2 linked regions of the Arabidopsis thaliana genome follow. The protein of the gene in region 1 purifies or fractionates together with the protein of each later gene. This does not show direct contact. Each region holds a gene or a part of one and is shown on either strand. Other genes may lie near its edges.

Region 1 (7,239 bases):
ATTTCTCGTGGCACAAAAAATGTTGTTGAATCGATGGACCTATTTTAATTGGGCATTACTTCCTTAGCCACGAAAGTTGTTAAAATCCATGTTTGAATAACATATGATTTATAAATTATACACAAATTTCTTAAAATTTTACTTTCAATACACCCCCTTTAAAGTTTGCTTAAATTTATAGGGGTAAAGGACGTGAGTTCGAGTACTCCTCTTAGCAATTCTTTTGATTTTTTTCTTCTTTCTTCTTCATCCCTTGTTAACGGCTGTTAGCTTCCGGATTTGATATCACCAATAGTTTATATACGAAGTATTTTGAAGCTACAAATAATTAGATGAGATATTTTTATTTCAACAAAAAGTATTAGGTATTAAACGCTCATTTTATTATACCGGTTTTAGTACATCCTGTACTGTTGCGATACATGGTTAGTGATCAGAATAGTAAACTTGAATTGGTCGGATTAGTAACTGCTTAGTGCTTACCATTGTTACCAGTTTTTTTTTGTGCCGATTTGATAAAACATTAAGCTAAAGCAGTACAAATCCTTAGCGCTTTCTCTTATCCATAAAAACAATACCTCTAAAAGATTCATGTCCTAGGATTCCTATAAAACAAGAACTAACCAACATATAAAGTAACTATGGCATTGATTTTCACAATTTTTGAACAACTGAAGATCATGAGAGTAACAAAGCTCTAAAGTACAAACAAAAAACCCAGAGATGGAGCAAAGTGAATGCAATACAGATGAAGAAGCCGTAAAGCGATGAGCTAAACGACGACGATTATTAATCAATATAGTTGTAAAATCAGCTAAAAATGAAGAGAAGTTAGAAAACAACTCCAAGCTAAGTATGATACTACTGGCTTCTCCCTTGTTTTTTCACTTGCCTTCTCAACAAAGCTCCAAAGATTCTTCTCAGGGACTTTCTGTTTCTCTTTTGCATGATTAACTAATATGATGAAATAACAACATATCCATAACCTTCAACTTCTAAGTTTTTTTGTTTCCTTTTTTAAAAAATAAAATCCATTCTAGAGATTATGATTTTCTTTTGTTGACTTGCTACCTCTTTGAACTCAGAAGGGAGCCTCCAGTGACGAGTCATCCCAAACCTCAGCACTTCCATTGGATGCATCTTCAACATCTTCTTCCATTGATAGCCGAATATACTCTCTATGTGCAAAACGGTCCCAGTCTGTCAATGTCGGGTTCTCGCGCTCCTGTTTTCGTTTGACATTTGAAATGTTATAAGAGGCCCATTGTGTCAAGAAAACAGCAAGGTTGAATATCAAACGTGGAGTAGTACCTGACGAATGAGGAACGGATCCCGGGTTTCAAATGCCATAAATTTGTTTAGATTAAAAAGGATGTTGAAGACGTTTCCAGAGAGCTTTGAGCCTTTCAGGTCATGCAGCGTTATATGGCTTTCGTTCTGTGGAAGGAAATAAAAAACAATCAAACACAAGACAAAATCGCAAGAGTCAGAAAGAAAAACTGGGAACCCAAACTACTTCTGTGACTGTCATATATCTTCCTTAATATAGAAAGAAAAAAACAAGAGACATATTGTTGAACCTCAGGTCCGATCATATCAATCATCTGACATAAGATATCCTCGAAAAGAACAGCCTCTTGCGCCATGCACTCCATTCTATGCAACTGCTCTTCATAAAAGAATTGCATCTCATTTCGCGTTATAATCCCATTTGCATCCAAGTCTATGCACTTAAACCTAGTCCAACGTATACTTGTGTCAGATAAAAAGACTTAAAATCGTATCTGTCTGCAACTTTCGGACCCTTATATCACAACTTACCAATATTCTAGGCTAGGCACTGACGATTTATCTTCTTCCGCAAGAATGAAATAGACAAAGTCTTCATACCCCATCTTCCCTTCAACTTTGCTAGTGAACTTCCTAGCAACCTAAGTAGAAACCAATGCATTATCCATGATGACAGTCCTCTTAAGAGTAATAATAACTTTGAACGAGGACAGAACTCTTAAATGGAAGCAATATAAACAAAATCCTCAAGTAGAAAGATTTTTTAGACAGAACCTGGGAGAATATTCTGTCGACAATCCGGTAGGTAAGAGCATGGTTTCCATATCTCATAAGATTTTCTTTGTCAATCAGGAAATCGTGATCCGTATCCAGCTCCCAGAACTTGCAGTATATGACATAGAAATGCTCATATGAGAAGTATCTATTTGCCAAAGTAAGTAGAAAAGTCATGTTAAATGAGCAGAAACAATACCATATATACAACAATAGCACAAATTTGTTTTTGTCAGTACCTCAACACTTTGTTAATATCTTCTTCTTCATCAGCATGTAGCATAGCATCAATTAAGTTTCCCCGTTTAAGCTCCCTAAATGTAATTCGACCATTGCCAGATCTATTTATGTAGTAAAATATTCTGTAGGTGACAGTTTCAGCTGTTTCATCAAAATGCAAATTGTATCAGCATGTAGCATAGCATCAGCTGTTTCATCAAAATACATGATTCATAAACAAGCTCCAGATTTTTTTTTTTTCTCTAATATTGATTCATCTGCAGGATTCATAGACAGAAGATGATTCATGCCGTGCTTGAAAGCTTTATGGATTTGCAAGTTATAAGATGATGTCTAACACAACACAACACAACAAAGAAACCGTATCTTATAAAATGTTTCAAATCCATACAGAGTAATACCACATTTATTAGTGTATCTTGATGCATCAATTATCAAAATTATCTTATTTCACTAGAAATACTATTGATGTGGTAACCATTCGACAGATTTAGATAAGTACATCATACCGAAAATGGCAAACTTATTCACTCATTCTTCTCAACTAGGGCTGTAGCTAACCATATACTTCGAAGAATAAAATGTACAACCAAACTCAATTACTAAACACCATTACTCAAGCAATACCAAGCAGAAAAAGAATACATTAGATAAATTAGGAAATGTAAATGAAGTTGAGACCTAACCATATCTTTCTTGGAATTCAGGTGTGGATTGCAGGAACTCTAGGCCAGGATGCGTCGCCAACAGTTCTTTAAGTAGTGGTTTGAAATCATCCTGCCATGAAAAAAAGAAAAGAAAAGAATAGAATCTGGAGTATAAACTCGCTTTCATGACTGACTGAATATGCAAATCAAAAGAAAATTACCTTAACAATGAAACTCTGATCTTTCTGCTTTAGGATCTTGAAGATTTGGGTCGTTGTATCCATTATCAACATGTTCCCGTTTACCCAAAAATCAATAAATGCATCTCTGTAGAAACAAACACGACAAAACTGTTATACTGGGTGGTGTTTCAGTAAACTATGCAGACATGAAGAGGAAGCACCATACAAAAAAAAAAGCATAGAAGCAGCAGCACACACCTAGTAACAAAACCTGTATTGTTGAGATCGATCTTCCGGAAAAGGGAAGTGGAGAAGAAAGATGGGAGCTTGCAGATTTCTCTGGTGACTAACTTGAATTCTGAGTATTGATTGAAAATGGAGAAAAAAGTTAATAAACAGTTAAAATATAAATAGTAGAAAACAAATGACTGACTTCTAACCTTGTATCTGCAAGCCATCCATGTGACCATAAAAGAAGTGATTGATTCTAAACATACATTGCTCTTTAATCTCGCTTGGTGGAGGGCGACCATTTTGGAAATAAAACTAGAATCATTTCAAGTTAAGAAATCAGTGAGTTAACTCCATTCCATTACTCTATATATATAAAGAAGGAAGTAAAAGAGGAAAAGAAACCTGAGGTATAGGCTCTTTAACAGGCTCGTTGACTACTTTGAGAGTAGAACCTAAGTTAGAAGGGGCTCTCTGTTTGGTTGTACGGGGTGAACCACAACTTCTTGGTGAAAGAGGAGGAGCGCTTCCCGCAGGAAACATAGATGGTATAGTGGCAGAATTAGAACCCGATGCACTTCCAGTAACATTGATAGGAGCTCCAGCTACAGCATCCTTAAGCAATGATCCAACCTAGAAAACCGATTAGGAAACGAGAAAAAGATTAGACTAGAGATTCCAGTGAATAGAGTAATTAACCTCAGTAACCTCCTAAGGCATCATTGTCATAACTCACACAACCCAAGAAAGATTCAACACCACAGAGTAAATCTCAGTAACCTAAGCATCATTGTAACACCCACTAACACTATCAAAGAAAGATTCAAACTTTACACCAATGCTCAACAGAAGCCAGAGAGTAATTAAGATTATGAAAGAAAGATTCGAACTTTACACGAATCTACAACTCACACAGAGTAAGCTAAGCATCATTGTAATAACTAACACTATCAAAGATCTGAACTTTACACCAATCCTCAACAGAAACAAATCTCAGTAACCTAAGCGTCTTAACTCACACTATCCAAAAAAGATTCAAACTTCATCACAGTAACGTAAGCATCAATGTAACACTCACCAACAGTATCAAAGAAAGATACGAACTTTACACCAATCTAACTAACACTATCAAAGAAAGATTCGAACTTTACACCATTCTCAGTAACCACCTAAGGCATCATTGTAATACTCACTAACACTATCAAAGAAACAAAAAAAAAGATTCAAACTTTACACCAGAGAGTAATTAAGCAACCAAATCTCAGTAACAACCTAAGGCATCATTGTAATACTCACTAACACTATCAAAGAAAGATTCAAACTTTACACCAATCCTCAACACAACAGAGTAATTAAGCAACCTAAGGCATCATTGTAACACTATCAGAGAAAGATTCGAACTTTACAGGAATCTACAAGTAACAGAGAGTAAGCTAAGAAGCATGAGTGTAAGAATTGTGAAGGCAATTCAAAAGGCAGAAACCTGTCGCTGAGCTTCGGGAAGAGAAAGCCACTGGTCGAAGAGCTTCTGAGTGAATCCAGGTTTAGAATTGAGAACAAAGGAAGACATTTCCTGAAGCTGCAACAAATCTGCATCCAAACAAGCCATATCTCCGGGAATAACCGTATCCACCATATTTAATCAATCGCATCAAAGTCGAGAAGATGAGAGAATGATCTTTGAGGCGAACGAAATTGGAATTTTGAACAAAGTCGAGATCTTCTTCACCAACACATCGAATCTAGTCTTCCTTCTTCTCCGATTCCGAACAAGGAAATGAGACAGCCAAATTCTTTTATTTATTTATTCTTTTGAGCAATCTGAAATAAATAAATAAATTAGAGAGATACCCAAAAAATACTTGAAACAGAAAAAGTTGATTTTAAGGGTTTATAATTTATTAAATGTTTGGGTTTGAGTTAAGTTTTTTGGGGTTTAGGGTTTATTTTTTAGAGTTTAGGATCTAGTTTTGAAAACTTTAAAAGTAATTTTGTGGTATTTTCAGAAAATAATATATTTTAGTGGTACTTTCAAAAAAATATAAACTACTAATAATGTTTTATAATAAAAATTAATTTTATGGTATTTTAAAAAATATGTCCATAAATAAATTAATATTTCGTTGACTAAATAATAAAAATAAGTAAGTGTATTTGAAGTAGAAGTTTTTTTTCTCAACATGTGGTTGAATTCTTGATTTTTTCTATATTTTGTCAACCACACATTAGTTAAAATATTACTTCATAATTGGTAGTCCAATCTTAAGGAAAAATATTTACGAAACAAATTTCATATAATATACTATCTAGAGTAACGAGTTAGACAATCTACCTTATACAAGAGCCATGAATTCTAGAAAGAAAAAAAGTTTTATATATCATATAAAAAATACTTGACGAATGAGAAACATATGATGTGTTTCATATCATGTTTTCCATATTTCATAAGGTTTTCTTTGTCAATCGGGAAATCGTGATCTTTATCTTTATCACATAAATTATAATATATGACATAGAAATGCTCTTATGAAAAGTATTTTGTTGCCAAATAAATAGAAATGTGTTGATATCAAAAAAACTGACACAAAACTATAGTTTGCAAATACGTGTAACTTAAAGTCTGACTCAATATTTATAACAACAAGAAAAAAAAACTATTTTTGTTAGTATCTCAACACTTTGTTGATATCTTCTTCTTGATCACCATAAAGCATATCATCAATTAAGTTTCCACGTTTAAGCTTTCTAATTGTATGTAGATCATATCTAGATCGATTTATGTCATAAGATATTTTATAGGTAACTATTTCAACTAGCCCATGGAAATAAAAATTGCATTCTTGAAAACCTGAGACATGGTAAAATCTAATCAGGTTCACATAATTTTTCTTGACTAAATCACATATCATATATAATTCATGTACTTTTACCAAATTTAGCAAAATTATCCCCTTATTAACAACATTAACTAGGGAAAAGAAAAACTATAGTAGTCATTTAGCTATGGAAGACAACAAAAATGATCATTCTCTATATGGGAGACTGCCATGTCATGCTTGCCAGCCCTAGAGAATCGAAAGGTAATAGAAGATGTTTAACACAACAAGAAAATCTTATTTTAGAAAGTTCATATACAAACTTGCAAGTCATACACTGTAATACCACATTATCCCGATGTACCAACGATGAAATTAATCTTAGGCATCTAGTAATGATATTAATGAGAGAAATTGTTAAGTGATATTTTTAACATTTTTTTTAGGTTTATTATGTTTTATCAACTCTTTATTCGGAAACAAGTCGTTTTGGATGTTTTATCAACTATAAGCCAAACCCTGTATTTCGCGATCTACCGAACAGATGCTCTATGGGGAGTAAGCTGAGCCCAACATCTCGCTCCCCAAATAATATGGTGAATCTGCCTCACTTATTTTTTACATAGCCCGCAACTCCCTCTTCAAATTATACATAGGTCTACTAGGCATAAGCCGAGAGACGTCTCGCGCCTAGTACACACCGAATACTTTTATCATAAAAGCCAAGCTTAGTCTCGCACTTAACATCTAACTCGGACTTTGACAGAAAAAATTGAGTATGACTTCTGGTGAAAACCAATCTACTCAAAAGCCGATCTCGAGGATTCGCAGGAAACTTATAAGTCATCTAACAAACTTAAATGTGAAAGTCATAAAATTGATATTAATAAATCAAACAAAGTTTGCTGCCATTACAAAGGCATTTATTCGGAAAAAGTAAAAAACGATCAAACAATTGATCTAATCTTATTAAATTTCAAAAAGCAGAAAACATCAGATCGCCCGATTCGAAACAGAATGGTTATCCCTCAGAAGGCGATCTGGCATAGGCCATACCAA
Region 2 (6,173 bases), on another chromosome or scaffold:
TGATGGGAAGCCACGGGCTGACTTTTGCTGCCATTGGAGGTGTTCATTGGTGTTGAACAGTTGGTGCAGAACTTTAGAGCTAAGAGAGATTTCTTCAATGGAGCACACATTACAATGACTAAAGTAGCAAGAACTCATTATTAGCTGGATCCTGCGCTCATGGATATCTCTGTTCCATCCCATGTCCTTCTGTTTTTGTATCTTGAGATGTTCATGTTATGTTGCATTGTTTGGATGTTTCTACGAATATGAGATTCTGCAAATATGAGAAATTTTGGAGCTCTAAAACTTCTTCAGAAATTTGCACCTACCATGGTAGTAGCCTAACTCTTGCGTCCACTTAAATCTATTTGACCAAGACAAGACTATCTATCAAAACAGTTTTGCTTACAAGTTATAACTTATAACAATTCAAGTCATCATGCTCTATTTGAAGATGAGATTTTCAATAGAGAAGGGAACAAAAACGATGGATTGAAATGTCAAGGAAAGAAAAGCAGAAATCAAGAAAACAATAATCTAAACGAAAGCTTTAAGAGAGTATTTCTGTGCAGATAAGTTACGTTGTGAAGTATTGGTTCCAAACTACAAATCACTGAATCAGGCTGATTTCTCTTTTTTCTTTTTTCTTTTGGTCTTGGGGTGGGGTTTCTTCACTAGCAATATGCCAAATATGATCGAAGGAGCTCTACATGAACAAGACACTTTCCGCTTGGTCTATTATTCTTATTAGTCACCTTGTAGGCAGTAGAGTTGCCTTATATTTCCAGATGCTGTCGCAACAAAAACATAGACTAAGTCAAAACCTAATGAATGATGCATATCAATAAAGTAAAGTAGGGATCGATTCAGAGAAAGTTTTCTTACCGTAAAGCCAGTCTTTGAAATAAACATGGAGTGCACTTGATAGCTCTCGTTTCCGGTTTTCTTCTAGAGGCGCCTCTTTTAACGATCGTCTTGTTTCTTCAAAGTTCTTAAGCTGATGACAAAAAAAATTGCAGATACAAGATCAGATATGGACAAAAATAACAAATGCATTTGTTTATCTGGTTAAGTATAACTTTAAAACATACGTTTCTCTGCTGAGCTGCCATATAAGCATCTGGCAATGGAAATGGATTGTCTTTCGTCGAACCAAGCTCCGCGCCGCTAAACCAGTTTGGGATCTGTGCCATTGTCATTGATACCACCGAAAAACACGTCATTAGATGCTTCATGACACTGAAAAGCATTCACCAATTATTGACGTAAATGTTAGACCCAAATAGAAAATGTACCAAAAAGTTTACGAACTGGTCAGGGTCTACAGAAGCAGCTGATTCAGCCTGTGCATCAGCAACACCGGCAGGATGTGACAGGGAGTCATGTGGATCCACAGCTCCCAGGGCCAATGGTTTGTCCCATTTGTTGATCGTTGGCTCAAGCCCTACCTCCCTCATGTGCTCTTCCAAATGAGAGTAAAATGTATTATATGGAGCGACCTGAAACAAAGTCAAATTGATGCCAGCACTTTAAAAATAGAAGCCCATAATCACTAGAAGCAATATCTGACAATGCCCGCACTCTTAAAAACCAGTAAAACCTTCTTGAGGAAAACATTTGACTAAACGTATCTAGCAGCAGTCTAGCCACCCCTCCAAGTTTGTTTCCACTAGACTTGATGACGTGTCCGAAACGGCTTATTAACCAAACTAACCAAACTAAATCTAGTAAAAAGTCTAGCCACTCAATTTTTTTTACCTTAATATCAGAAAGGTAAATAAGAGCAACATGACATAAAACTTGTAAATTAAACCACAATCTTAAAGAGAAGCTTCACCTGCAGTTTGTGGTTATCACCAACAATAAGTGGCCGCTGATTGACTCCCAAGAAGAATACACATTCACGACAATTGGCAATGCACACTCGTTTGGCAGCTACAATCACATGAACTCTTTCACAGTGCTCAACTTTTATTGCCTGCAGAAATAAATACGGAATTATGTTTGATACATCTTTTAATAAAAGTTGGCAGATATTATAACTTGTTAAATGTTGCTTTGACTATCTTCAGAAAAGATAAAGAAGGAAGAAGCATTGTTTCCATACCTTGCCAACAGCTCCCAAAACTATAGTAGTATCAGAACATCCGTGCACAGTTGCATATCGCAATGGTGCTAAAAGATAAATTACAGAATCATGGCAATTGACAACCTGAAAAATACACAAAACAAGGAGTTGACATGCTTGCACAGAGATTCCATGACTGGAAGAAAAACGGAACAAGGAACAGTCAGACCTTCACAGATCTACCCCTTAGATCGGAGGCTTGCTTAACAAGTGAAGTCTTGGAGACTCCCTCGATTAAACACGGGCCTCTAGTACTAGGTGCAACCTTGTTCGGAGCAGCACAAACATCTGACATCGCATCATCTTGATCGTTAGAAGGTCCGTTCTCTTTTCCAGAAATTCTCTCAGTAATGCTTTCTAAAGCGGAAGCTATGTTTTGCAGAAGCCAGTCATGCACTTGGGAAGCGGGGACTGGAACAGCGGGCATATCCGGATCAGAATTTGCAAAAAAAGGAGTAGCTTGGCTCAATGGAGATACATCAGATCCCTTATCACCAAACTGAACAAGAAAACGCAGATGCTCGAACGCCTCCATAGAGAAAACCTGAACGATATTGGACAAGAAAAAAAAAATTAACTTGTGTTCTCTTTCATTTCCTAAAAAATTCTTATTCCAACATCAGAATTTTATATTCTTGTAGCTTAGAACAGTGACACCCCCTGAGAATATAAGAAAGATTAGAACTTACCAATGATTCATCTCCTTCTCCCTCCACAGGCTCTGCAAGGAGAGAAATGATGTTTGCTAAATGTTTTTGCAGATATGACAACTGATGAGCTTCATCATCTGCCTGTGATGGCATAAATCGACGGCTGTTGCTGCGAACAAGCTGCAGAAATGATGAAAAGGAGATATAAATAACAATTTTAGCTCCAATAAAGTTGGTTCGACCCATGTGATGAGAAACGATAGAATACCAAAGAACAGTGACTGTAGAAAACACTGAAAAGCTTAAGATTATATGACTGTTTTCTAAAAGACTCAATAGAACATCCATACCACACAGGAAACAGAATATTACAGGACTGGAGACCCGAGTCAAAATTCAAGAACACACCAAGCATTATCACCAAATAAACCACGTGAAAGGACCAAACAAAATAAGGTACAACGGAAAAAGAATCAGATTCCGAACCACAAAACAAAGCAAGCTGGCGACTGTTTGACTTTAGTTAGTAAACTAACCAATTACCATTGCCCCAGAGTCATCAGAGAAAGGGGACTGGCAATTAAATACAAGTAAGCATCTTCCTCATTGAGAATTGTTACGAAACTATAGCCACCATCAATTCAATTAATCACCCAAATTTCCGACATTGCTTAACTCTAAGTTTCAGGTAAATCAAATGACTCAGAAAACTTAAACTTGCATTGCAAATTTTAGTTAAATACAATGCGAAATGGAAATAAGTTATTCTCTACCACGTTCCAATTCCATACTCGAGTACAACAGTTCCATTTCAATACCAAACAAATCGCAGGCGCTGGGATTGAGGCACATTATAATAAGAGGGCCAAAAAAAGTAAGAAACTTGCCTGAATTGGCGATAACGCAGACAAGTATCCATCAAAAGCTGAAGTCGATGGCCAAACATCAGCCACCGCTGCGGAGTCCTTATGCGTCCTAGGAAGCAACTTCTTATACGATTGAATGTACAGGAACAAAATAAGATCCCGCAAATCAGCTCCGACGGAATCAACTTCCTCAGGTTTCGCCCGAACCAGAGGGTCAGACTCGGAATGAAGCACCGAACCGAGAGTCTCGAGAACGAGACGCGCATGGTCGCCGGAGATCTGGAGAACGTCGGCGATTGCAGCCGATCCAACGCGGTTATTCGAAGCCGCATCGGCTAGCTTCTGCTTGACAGGGGCTAAGGTTTGGATCGGGTCGGTGAAAACGAGTTTCTGGATCGGGAGGAGTCCGTGCTCGAAAGACACACGCCTTGGATGGATTACTGAATTCGGATTCGTGCTCGAGTTTGGTTCAGGGTCGGGTGCTGAAGGTGGTGGTGATTGGTCGATGAGGTCTTGTTCTTCAGTCATGATTGATTCGTCGCGCGAGGTAGAGAGACAGAAGAGATAGAGAGAGACTGGTCCGGTGGTGAAGTTGCAGATCTTTCTTTGGGTGACGAATCATTTCATTGAAGGAGAAGAGCAGAGAGAGAGATGGTTACAGTGCGTGCACGTGTATGTTAGTAACGTACGCTTCGTTTCTTTGGTCGTTGGATTTACGAGTAGATTAACCTTTGATCTGAGCTATGACACGTCAGATGAACGGAGATAACATGTTAACTAAAGAGGCCCATTTGAGAATTGAATGCAAATCGCATTTAAGTTTTAGTTAGGCCATTGTTGCAATAAGTTAGGTCCTAAGCGTTCGTCAAAAGGAGAAAAGGTGATCATCACAACTCATAATTAGGTTTTACAATAGGGAAATATACTTGGTTACCTAAGTACTTGTAAGTTGTCACTGTTAATTAAAATTGTTAGAAGATTAGTGGGAAAAAGAGAGATAAAATTGGGAAGTTTAGGCCAAAAGAACTCATAACTCGCTTTCATTGCAATTTAAATATTGTCCGCTTGTTTAAGGAAAATGGTTTGCAATGGGTAAACATCGTTTAAATGAGACGGTTATGTTTTTTAGCAGTTACAGAAAAAGGCGGGTAGAAAAAAACGGTTAGAAAAGATGAACAACCTAAAATTAAACCAATTGGTAATATCGTTTAAATAAGGCGGTTATTTTATTTAACACTTACAAAAAAGACTGATAAAAAAAAACGGTTAGAAAATATATTAAAAGAAAAAATGATAAATAATTTAAAATGAACCGTTAAATAATAGTTATGATTAGTAACAAACGGTTAAACAGTAAAAAAAAAAAACTAAATTAAAATATTTAATAAATAACTAAAAATATTTAAAAAACAAAGAAAAACAAAACTCTTTAGTAAATAATTCAAATACATTACAGTTTTAAAAATCTAAGAAACGTTAAATAACTAAAATATTCCAATGGTGAACAAGAGAGGTTGCAAACTCACCTATTTTGTTTAAGCTTTTAACCGTTTGTTTCAATCACCTATTCTTACCACTCGTTTCATCCGTCTATTGCAAGCAATTATTTGATTGGTAATCAAACTAACGGTTGAATTTATCGCCGTTAAATAAATGTTATCAAGCTACTATTGGAATTCGGAAAGGGAACACTATCAACTTTTGGATTCTTAGGTTATCTCATTCATTCAGCTAGCTCAATATTCTGATTTGATTTGATTTGATCCGTTTCGATTCGGTATTTGATTTAATTTGATTCGAAAAATCCGAATATTCGTAAGATTTTGGAGCAAAGCAAATAGAAAAATATAGTATTCGTAAAAATCGAATCAAATAATAAATATTGTTTTTTAAAAAATCGAATATCCGCTTCGATCCGTATCTTTTTATATATATTAGAAAATATAGTATATCTATATATAGATATCATAAATAGTTTGTGTATTGTTGTCATTTTATGTTTTTATGTTAAGATGTTTGTTTGATCATTTTTTTTTATGTTATGTTTTGATCAATGGCATCAAAAAACTATCGGGTTTTAGTTTTGGAATTAGTTTGATAATATTTTGTTGACCGGTGATACCAACAACGGTTATGTTTGGTATTTAGAACTTATTTTAAAAGCACACGGAGACACCAATTAAGGAACGCACGGATAAATTTTTTGAATATATGATATAGTTATATAGTATACATATTTTTTTAATATTTAAATGTATCAAAGCGGATATCCGCAAATATCACAAAAAATTCCGGATATTCGAAATTCCGGATATCTGGAAATTTTCGAAGTAAAGCGAATCACAAAATCAAGTATTCGTTTAAAACGAATCGAATAACAAATATCATAATTTTTCCGGATATCCGCTTCGTGCCCATACCTAATTCTGAGTATAAAATTTAATATTTTTTCTTTATGTAAATACACAAAAAGTGACCATGAACCGTACAGTTTAAAATAGTCATTTTTCGACGAAACAATTACCGTGACGTTGTCTTTAAACCTCT

What was found.
Region 2: the proteins of AT5G28850 (region 1) and AT3G57890 fractionate together in Arabidopsis thaliana (co-fractionation; one large-scale study listed by BioGRID). This does not show direct contact.

What each region holds. Positions count from the first base shown.
Region 1 is NC_003076.8:10,876,279-10,883,517, forward strand, and holds AT5G28850 (Calcium-binding EF-hand family protein), read right to left. Parts: upstream 5,208-7,239; 5' UTR 5,001-5,207; coding exon 4,848-5,000; intron 3,998-4,847; coding exon 3,770-3,997; intron 3,680-3,769; coding exon 3,574-3,679; intron 3,492-3,573; coding exon 3,392-3,491; intron 3,279-3,391; coding exon 3,173-3,278; exon of another isoform or gene 3,139-3,172; coding exon of another isoform or gene 3,082-3,138; coding exon 2,991-3,081; intron 2,446-2,990; coding exon 2,304-2,445; intron 2,213-2,303; coding exon 2,065-2,212; intron 1,932-2,064; coding exon 1,822-1,931; intron 1,738-1,821; coding exon 1,581-1,737; intron 1,438-1,580; coding exon 1,312-1,437; intron 1,226-1,311; coding exon 1,082-1,225; 3' UTR 510-1,081; downstream 1-509. UniProt on the Arabidopsis thaliana protein: Regulatory subunit of type 2A protein phosphatase. Involved in post-transcriptional regulation of HMGR but not in root growth regulation in response to salt.
Region 2 is NC_003074.8:21,436,252-21,442,424, reverse strand, and holds AT3G57890 (Tubulin binding cofactor C domain-containing protein), read right to left. Parts: upstream 4,342-6,173; 5' UTR 4,155-4,341; coding exon 3,648-4,154; intron 3,137-3,647; coding exon 3,029-3,136; intron 2,941-3,028; coding exon 2,800-2,940; intron 2,655-2,799; coding exon 2,280-2,654; intron 2,195-2,279; coding exon 2,090-2,194; intron 1,961-2,089; coding exon 1,820-1,960; intron 1,482-1,819; coding exon 1,278-1,481; intron 1,167-1,277; coding exon 1,074-1,166; intron 980-1,073; coding exon 868-979; intron 774-867; coding exon 730-773; 3' UTR 537-729; downstream 1-536. Other genes in the region: AT3G57900 (import inner membrane translocase subunit Tim17/Tim22/Tim23 family protein), read left to right, coding at 40-144.